Linked DNA regions of Oreochromis niloticus. The protein of the gene in region 1 binds, or shares a complex with, the protein of each later gene. Links are inferred from orthologs where the notes say so. Each region holds a gene or a part of one and is shown in the gene's direction. Other genes may lie near its edges.

Region 1 (3,922 bases):
GACTCCCAACACCTCGCCTCACAGCGAGGTGTTTTCTGTTACACCTCTATAGAAATAGAGGTGTAACAGAAAACATTCTGATGCTAAGCTTCACATCCTGGTTTAGCAGCTGGAAGTCCCGTGAGAAGCGACAACCCAACAAGATCATAGGACTGCCAGTAGGATAGTAGATGGTGGATGAGTTTTTTGCACTGTGAGACTGATAAATGGACTGTGCCCCATCCCCACTCACACTGTAAGACCCACAAACCAGGGGCGGATCTAGAGAAATGTTCTTAGGCTAGCATGGAAATCAAATGGGGTGGCAAAATCAAAGCCTTTTTTAAAGACATAGGTCTTTAAAAAAGGTGTTACATATAGTTAAAATGATTCAAATGCAGTAAGTATACGTGTTTCAAATAAATATAGTATATCACTTCATTATTTTCTGTAGCCCGCCTAATTAAACATTTCAGTTACATAAAACATGTGAATTTTGATTTTATGTCCTGTATAGCCTGTAAATATAAAATAATAAATAAATATGTAGCCCAATAAGCATAAAAATATTTTACCATAAAAACAACAGACATGTTTAATAAATTATTTTAAAACTTTAAAATTAAATATAAATTGTAAATTTTGAAAACTTATTCACAAATTTTGTAAACAATAAAGTTTACAAAATCTACTGAAAACAAGAAATAAAGCCAGTCTGCGCCATGGGTTAAACCATTTGTTAACGGTGTGTGTGTGTGCAATATCAGTTTTAGGATTTATATTCATTTTTAATTGTTGCTGGGCTCAAAGTGTTAAGGCTACCTTATTTGTACTTAAAAATAACAGTCACATGCAAAACTAGGGTGGCACTAGGGGTGACAAGAGATCATTTTAGGGTGCCACCCTATGCCAACTTATGCCACCCCTCTAGATCCGTCCCTGCCACAAACGGGCTTTTTCATTTTCCAAAAGTCTCGTTTTATCGAACAAAAATCTGCCCGGGGTTCACACTCCCACCGCTTGGGGGCGGTAATGCAGCGTTAACACCACACCGAGGAAGGCGGAGGCTGACAGCGAGCGGCGGGGTTTAGGACCCGGTGGGCTGCGCGGTACAATAGGGCCGTTGTGGCGTGTTGGTGTCCGGGCAGCAGAGCTGGATCCTCCCGTTGAGCTACGGGGACAGAAGTACCTAGTCCGGAACCAGAGCCCGGGCCGAAGCCGTGTGAGGACCGTGTGAGCAGAATAACGCAGGCGGCAGCGGCGGGACTGCAGGTATGAGCGGGAAAATGTGAACAATATGGTTTCGAGGTGAGCCTGAGCTCTGGGCTCTGCCCTGGACGGTCCCTTCAGGCCCGGGGCCTGCGCGCTCTCTGGGGCTGTCCTGCCTCTTTACCCCGGAACCACCAGCGGCTGGTAGGCTCCCGGGGTATGAACCCAGCGGAGCAGCACAGATGCCCGCCTCAGAGGCTCTGAGGAAGTGACATCTTTGAGTGATTGAGGCGCCCATGTTTGATTTCCCAGCCCGCGGGCAGGCCTTACAGTTTGGCGCCAACACTTTACACAGGTGTGTGAGGCTTTCTTTCAGGTGAGCCAAGAAACGGCACAAAACAGGAGGAGGGAGGGAAGTAAACAGTGTGGTAGCCTTTTCTCATCGTTTCCTGTCAGGTGAGCTTTTTAAACAACCTGACGTCATATCCGTGCGCCCTCCCTCCACAGGTTAGATGTCAGGTGGAGAACACCTGCCACATCTTCCTGTGGAGTAATGACATCTTATATATATAAACCTGTTTGAACAGCCTCCACACACTGTACATAAAAGATGGAGGGAACACTCATCGTCAGTGTTGAACCCTCAGCATCGAAGTGGTAGCTGCTGCCATACTGGTTGTATTTGGGGGCAGAAGTGAGCCCACTGTTTAGTATTAGTACCTACTCGGGTAGGCTCGTTGCGGTTTTTCGGGTTCTCTGTTAGGTCATAGTACCTGGTACTTTTTTGTACATACTCCACCGGGGTTCTGATTGGCTAGTCAATGGCATCACTTGAGAAGTCATGAGAGTGTCTCCTTCATGAAAATTAGAACCACTAGTTAAAAAACCTGGAACAAGGAAATTGGCAACACAGAAACAATACTGTGGTCCCCGAGTCCATGAGGGAGTCTATGAGAACTAACTCACTGCTGCCTCTGCCGGACAATAAAGGAACTGCAGCCTCTGGTGCTTAAGGTTACTGGAAAGTCGAGTAGAAAAGCACAAACACGGAGTGAAAATATGATTCTTGTTCATCAGGGAGAACCCGCGGTTCTATTTACAACACTCTAAGTTGACTTGAGCTGCTCACGTGAGGTGTACGTCACTATGCTATGGCAAGGAGAGGGGCTCCTGGCTCCTCCTCTTCCTCGTGTCTTCATGGGGAATGTCAGGCATGTGCCGCCTGTTGAAACAGCGTCGCTCTGGCCTCTTCGACCTCTTGTTTATTGACACAGATATGCTTTAAAAGTTAAAAAAAACAAAACAAATATTTTTAAGAAGAACTGCTATAAGGCTTTGTTGTGTGAGATGAGTCACTATACCTGTGTCTTTATGACACCTGTGAGGCAGGTGAGTGCTGCTCCGTCCTTCACAGATAGAGACGCAACACAAAGTAATAAAACAAAAGTGATCGTATGGGATGATGACGCGTTTAAAGCAAGTGAATTAGAAAGTTACAGCAGGGATACAATAAAATGTAAAATAATCAATAACATGTGATCAGTGAAGTAAAAGTTGTGTAATTTATAAATGTCTTTATTTACTTGTGGTTTGCAGATATGAACTGAAGCGGTCTGACAGAAGAATCTACTAGCATGCTTTTCAATTTGAAGTTTACGGTGAGTACACATTTCTTCTTCTGAACTTCCGTTGGCCTTAAAATCATCAATATTTTAATGTCATCAGCTTCTTTTGCTGCAGGATGATACAGGATGAAACGCCTCCGGTCCTCCAGCAGCAGTGACACGTCTGACAATGAGAGTGAGTTGAGCTTGCCACTTCGTTTCTGGCGTAATCATCGTTTCTAACCTGTTATGCTCTGTAACTATTTCTCTAACAACAGAAGAAAGTAATCTGTGTGCAGTCCTGCCTGTTGGTGCAAAAGAATCCAGTTTCAATAATCAGTGTGAGACGGTAGCATCATTAAAACTGGAAAATAATAAGCATGTCCTTCATTTCTTTTTATTCGCCTCTTTCTTCTTTTAGGTCCTTCGACCTCGTTCTGCTCCTCCAACAAATATGGGAGCAAACCTGGAACGCCCGCCTCCAACCAGAAGAAGCCGGCTGAGGTGCGTGTCAGACTCTGCTGAGAGTCAATAAATGTCAGGACGGCGTTTGACTACCTGTGTGCGTCTCTCTCGCCCACAGGTGTTCAGGAAAGACCTGATCAGTGCCATGAAGCTGCCTGACTCCCACCACGTCTCCCCAGAGGACTACTACCTGCTGGCAGACACCTGGAAGCAGGAGTGGGAGAAAGGAGTGCAGGTGCCAGCGAGCCCAGACACCATCCCAGAGCCGTCTGTCAGGTGAGTCCGACCGCCTCCCAAAGGTCGTAGTGTGCCACCACCTCTTCACGCAGGTACTTGAGTACGCTGATCAGCGTACTCAAGTGACAAGTTTACATGAGTCAGCCGTAGCTGAGCACATGACTACATCAGACACAGCCTCAGAGACTGAACGCTCTGGAGGAGCTCCACCCCAATGGGAACCGGCTCAGGTGTCTCATGACCCAGTGGTAGGAGCCCTGGGTGGGTGAATTCACCTGTCAGCTGGATCGGGAATGCTCCTGTGTCTCCTAGAGGAGGAGAAGAAAGGCTTCAATGTGACCACAAACCCATCTGAAAGTGCAAACAGGAGAGCGGCAGATACATTCAGCGTCAGCTGATCGTCTCGCTCTCTCAATCACAGCAGGAGG
Region 2 (3,922 bases), about 2.2 Mb from region 1:
ACAGCATAAACACTAATACATCCCATTACTGTGGAGGTCAAGCATTCACGTTTTTCCTTTAATTTGTCTGGATACTCACTTTGTCGATGAAGCCAGCCACTCTTTACCATAGCCATCTTGGAAGTAACACCTACAGAATAAAATGTAAACACATTAGAGAGCATCTGTTATTACTGAGACACTAGGAGCACATGACTGGGTGTGGCATATCCAACACAAACCTCGTGACTGTTAGCACTATTAGCAAGTTCACAAATCTATTTTCAGAAACAGAAGCTTATATAAGATAAGTTACAATAACAGCTCATGGTAATATGGCCACATGCCCAGAAATATTAACACCATGTTTAGTTACTCTGTAGTTCCCCCATGCTTAGTTAGACAATGTTTAGGACATGACATTAGTGGAAGCCAGATAACTGACAGTTCTCCTGCTTTAACCACTGTTTAGGATATTTACTTAGATGTGATCCTGGTTTTAAGTCAGACTAGGCCAGTTGTGAGTAGGTCGTCCTCATGTTTAATAACTGCTATGCCACCCATAGCAACCCTGTGATAATGTGGATTTTATATGATATAAGTTCTTTGATATGTAGGTTATTGCTAACCGTTAGCGGCTTTTTAATATAAACACGTCGCCATTACAAAGCTGACCTATCGGTTAACCGTGTTTATAATACGCTAAAACACCACAACTTGTTCTTTAACCGAGGGCATTAGTATCCGTACTTGTAAAAGCGGTGGATAAATGAGTTACTTACTTGATTTCTTGTATGCTTTTTGGGGGGAGGGTGATAGCAAGCCTTTCGTGAAGAAACAGCAAACACGGAAGTGAGATGCAAAAAAAAGAAAAAGAAGAAGACTCCTTCCACGGAGAGGAAAAACCCTGACCGCTAAACTTAGCGGACACTGTACACAACGGAGGCCTTAAGCCACGCCCACAGAGCATCTTCACGAATGTTCAGTCTTTCTGTGAGAGGGAGGTGTTTGTTTTGGATGACGTAACCTATCAGCTGACAGTGGTGGAAAGTGCTAGCAAACGGAGCGAGGGCGCGCTTGTTGAAGTTCGTTTCTAACGTTTCGCAATCACATGGCCGACGGCGAGGCTTGTGTTAATATTCCTCATGTTTATTAAACATGATTCCATTGAGAGTGTGTGTGTAACGAATTTGCTTGTTGGTTCCATCATTTCTGGCTGATACAGTTAGTTAAGAGTGCATTAAATTGGCATAGAACGCGTATAAACTAGTATAAACAATGTAGCAGAGGAGATTGGGAGCAAAGTTATGTGTTCGTAATACTTAAGTAAATGAATAGTACTTAGAAACTTTTTTATTACATGTGAGGTACCAAACGTAAAAAGTTGCGCCCTGTCCTCCAGCACGCATGTTCGGAGTGAAGGCACGCTCGGGGTAAACTGCCACTTCCTCTGTGTTTTTGTGAGCCTCGCTTCATTTAATTCGGCGAAGCCTGTGACTGCAGACAGACTCGCGTTACTCCAAGCCAACTGACCAACGGGCGACCCAGGGTTACAAAACAAACCCAACCTCTCTGGCCAACAGTTTGAGGAGCTAACGAGGGTAACGCAGAAGCTAAACAGCTAATTCGAAATGGCGACGGCAATATACTTGGAACATTACCTTGACAGTAAGTATCCGGAATGTGGTAAATTTCTGTCAACAGATAGAAAATGCAACTTTTAAAGGTTTAGTTGATTACAAATTTTTGGACAGCGGTTTCCATGCAGTGCGTTTGCAACTAACAAGCTGTTAGGTCATTAGCTCGCCAGCTAACTGGTTAGCATTGTGATATTACCTTAGCAGTGATAAAGGTACGTAAACTATTAATGTCTCTTGTCAGTTTCAGTCAAAAGGGAATCTAATAATTAACTGTTTTCACATATTTAGGAAAACTGACTGTAGGTTGCAACCTTTTCTGATTCATGCGCTAGCAATGTTGGAGCAGCCTGTAGCTACGCAACTAGCATTGGTTATATAAGGGCATTTAAAGATAAATTGTTATGTTAACCGCCTTTATATTTAATCTTTGATCATTTTAGTCACAGTTTGTGTTTTTATATAGGAAAGCATTTACAACCTGTTGGTTACCGCGTTTCCCGTAACAGTTTACGCGCCGGGTCGGGGTGTTTGAAGTGCGTCACATGGCGTACAGAGTGTATTTACTAGTCAGTTGTTGTGAATGCCCTTAATAATGTCTGCTATTGGGACAGATGTAATACATGTAAAGCGTTATTTTGTACAGACACGTTGTTACACGATAACATTCTGCAATTCATGCACACGTGAGTGTGTGGTTGTGATGGTATTTGTGTTGTTTTTAATGTGCAGATTTGACATCAAGTATTTTAAATGTTGTATAAAATGTTATGTAAGTATAATGAAAAAAATAATTTTAGCCTTTAGCATTAAAGGTGAAGAAGAGAATGCAGGCAGGATGGAGTGGGCAGAGACAAGTGTCAGGGCGGATTTGTGACAGAAGGATAGCAGGAAGACTGAAAGGGTTGAGTAGGTAGGTGGTAGAGAACGCTAACAAACAGACAGAAGGTAGTCAAGCTAAAGATTATGATTTTCATTGGGAGTGACCAGGTGGAACAGAATTAGACCCATAAAGTGAGGAGGTAGAACAAGAAAGGCTTCAGTGTAAAACGTAATGATTTCTAGGTTGTAATTATTGTCATAATAACCTCCATTCTTTACTTCTTATTTATATTTCTATGGTTTTGAAGTATTCAGTTGAGTTTGTGCATTTGACTTTTTACAAAGGCAATTAATTAAGTGTGATGATTAAGTTCAGAAAATGTAATTGGAATGAACTGTTAGGCATTAATATTGTCTAATCTCTTCTTTAGGTATTGAAAACTTGCCATGTGAGCTACAAAGGAACTTCACTTTGATGCGAGACCTGGACAACAGAACTGAAGGTGATAATTTAATCTCTTAACATTACAGTCAATAAAAAGCTCTGCGGACTTATACAAAATAAACAAATGGCTCTGACAGTATAATCTGCGATACCTGAAAACCCAGTTTAGCCATGCTCCTTATGTGTTAGGTTGTACCACTTACCAGTAGTCTTAGACAAACAGTTGTCAATAGTTTACATCCACTCACTTTCGACCCTTTGTGACTAGAGAAAATCCAAAATATATTCAAACTTATGCATCCAAGTCTTGTTTTATAAGGGTATTAAAGATGTATGCTATGCAGTCATTCCACCCTGGAATAAGAACAGTTCAAGGAAATAATTTAAAGGAAATCATTAATTCATAACAAGAGATACGAACTCTATATATACATTAAGGTTAAAGGCATATTAAGTTAGCAGATTCTAATTTCAGTATAATATACAGAAATGAACAGGATTATTAAATTATTAGATTTTGCTATGGAGTTCAGAGCTCTTGTGGGTAAGCAACCTACCAGCCAATCAGATAACAGTATTCCTTGTTGCTGTGGTAAATCTTTTCCCACCTTAATGTATATCAATGTTACAAACATTACATTGTAACATATTGATATGTTAGATTTGCATGAAACCAAATAATTTATTCAAAACAAAATAATAGATTTTTATTTTTTTAAATATTTTTTCCTGTTTTATGTTTTTTAAATTTCAAAACTTAAACTTAAATGAATAAAACATTTGACCCTATTTTAGCTCTATGCAAACTTACCATGGCATTCATGCCTGTATGAAAACGTCTGACCACAACTGTAAATAGGAAGCTTACATGTAATATTTTATCACTAGTTTTATCCAGCACTATAATGATCATGTTGTTGTGCAGAAAAGAAAGGAGAGATCGATAAACTGGCTGAAGAGTACATCGCAAATGTCAAGAATCTAGCTTCTGAGCAGAGAGTGGAACACCTGCAGAAGATCCAGAATGCCTACAGCAAGT

The links.
Region 2: jade3 (region 1) and ing5a share a complex: the UniProt entries of both Homo sapiens proteins name them as parts of the HBO1 complex. The link is inferred for Oreochromis niloticus from reciprocal best matches to the Homo sapiens genes JADE3 and ING5.

The regions. Positions count from the first base shown.
Region 1 is NC_031986.2:35,881,368-35,885,289, reverse strand, and holds the start of jade3 (protein Jade-3), read left to right. Parts: upstream 1-1,000; 5' UTR 1,001-1,251; intron 1,252-1,257; exon of another isoform or gene 1,258-1,644; intron 1,645-2,784; 5' UTR 2,785-2,846; intron 2,847-2,928; 5' UTR 2,929-2,939; coding exon 2,940-2,988; intron 2,989-3,213; coding exon 3,214-3,296; intron 3,297-3,375; coding exon 3,376-3,533; intron 3,534-3,922. UniProt on the Homo sapiens protein: Scaffold subunit of some HBO1 complexes, which have a histone H4 acetyltransferase activity.
Region 2 is NC_031986.2:38,130,434-38,134,355, forward strand, and holds the start of ing5a (inhibitor of growth protein 5a), read left to right. Parts: upstream 1-1,086; 5' UTR 1,087-1,610; coding exon 1,611-1,647; intron 1,648-2,445; exon of another isoform or gene 2,446-2,529; intron 2,530-2,869; coding exon 2,870-2,941; intron 2,942-3,808; coding exon 3,809-3,922. Other genes in the region: plekhb2 (pleckstrin homology domain-containing family B member 2), read right to left, coding at 80-116. UniProt on the Homo sapiens protein: Component of the HBO1 complex, which specifically mediates acetylation of histone H3 at 'Lys-14' (H3K14ac) and, to a lower extent, acetylation of histone H4. Component of the MOZ/MORF complex which has a histone H3 acetyltransferase activity.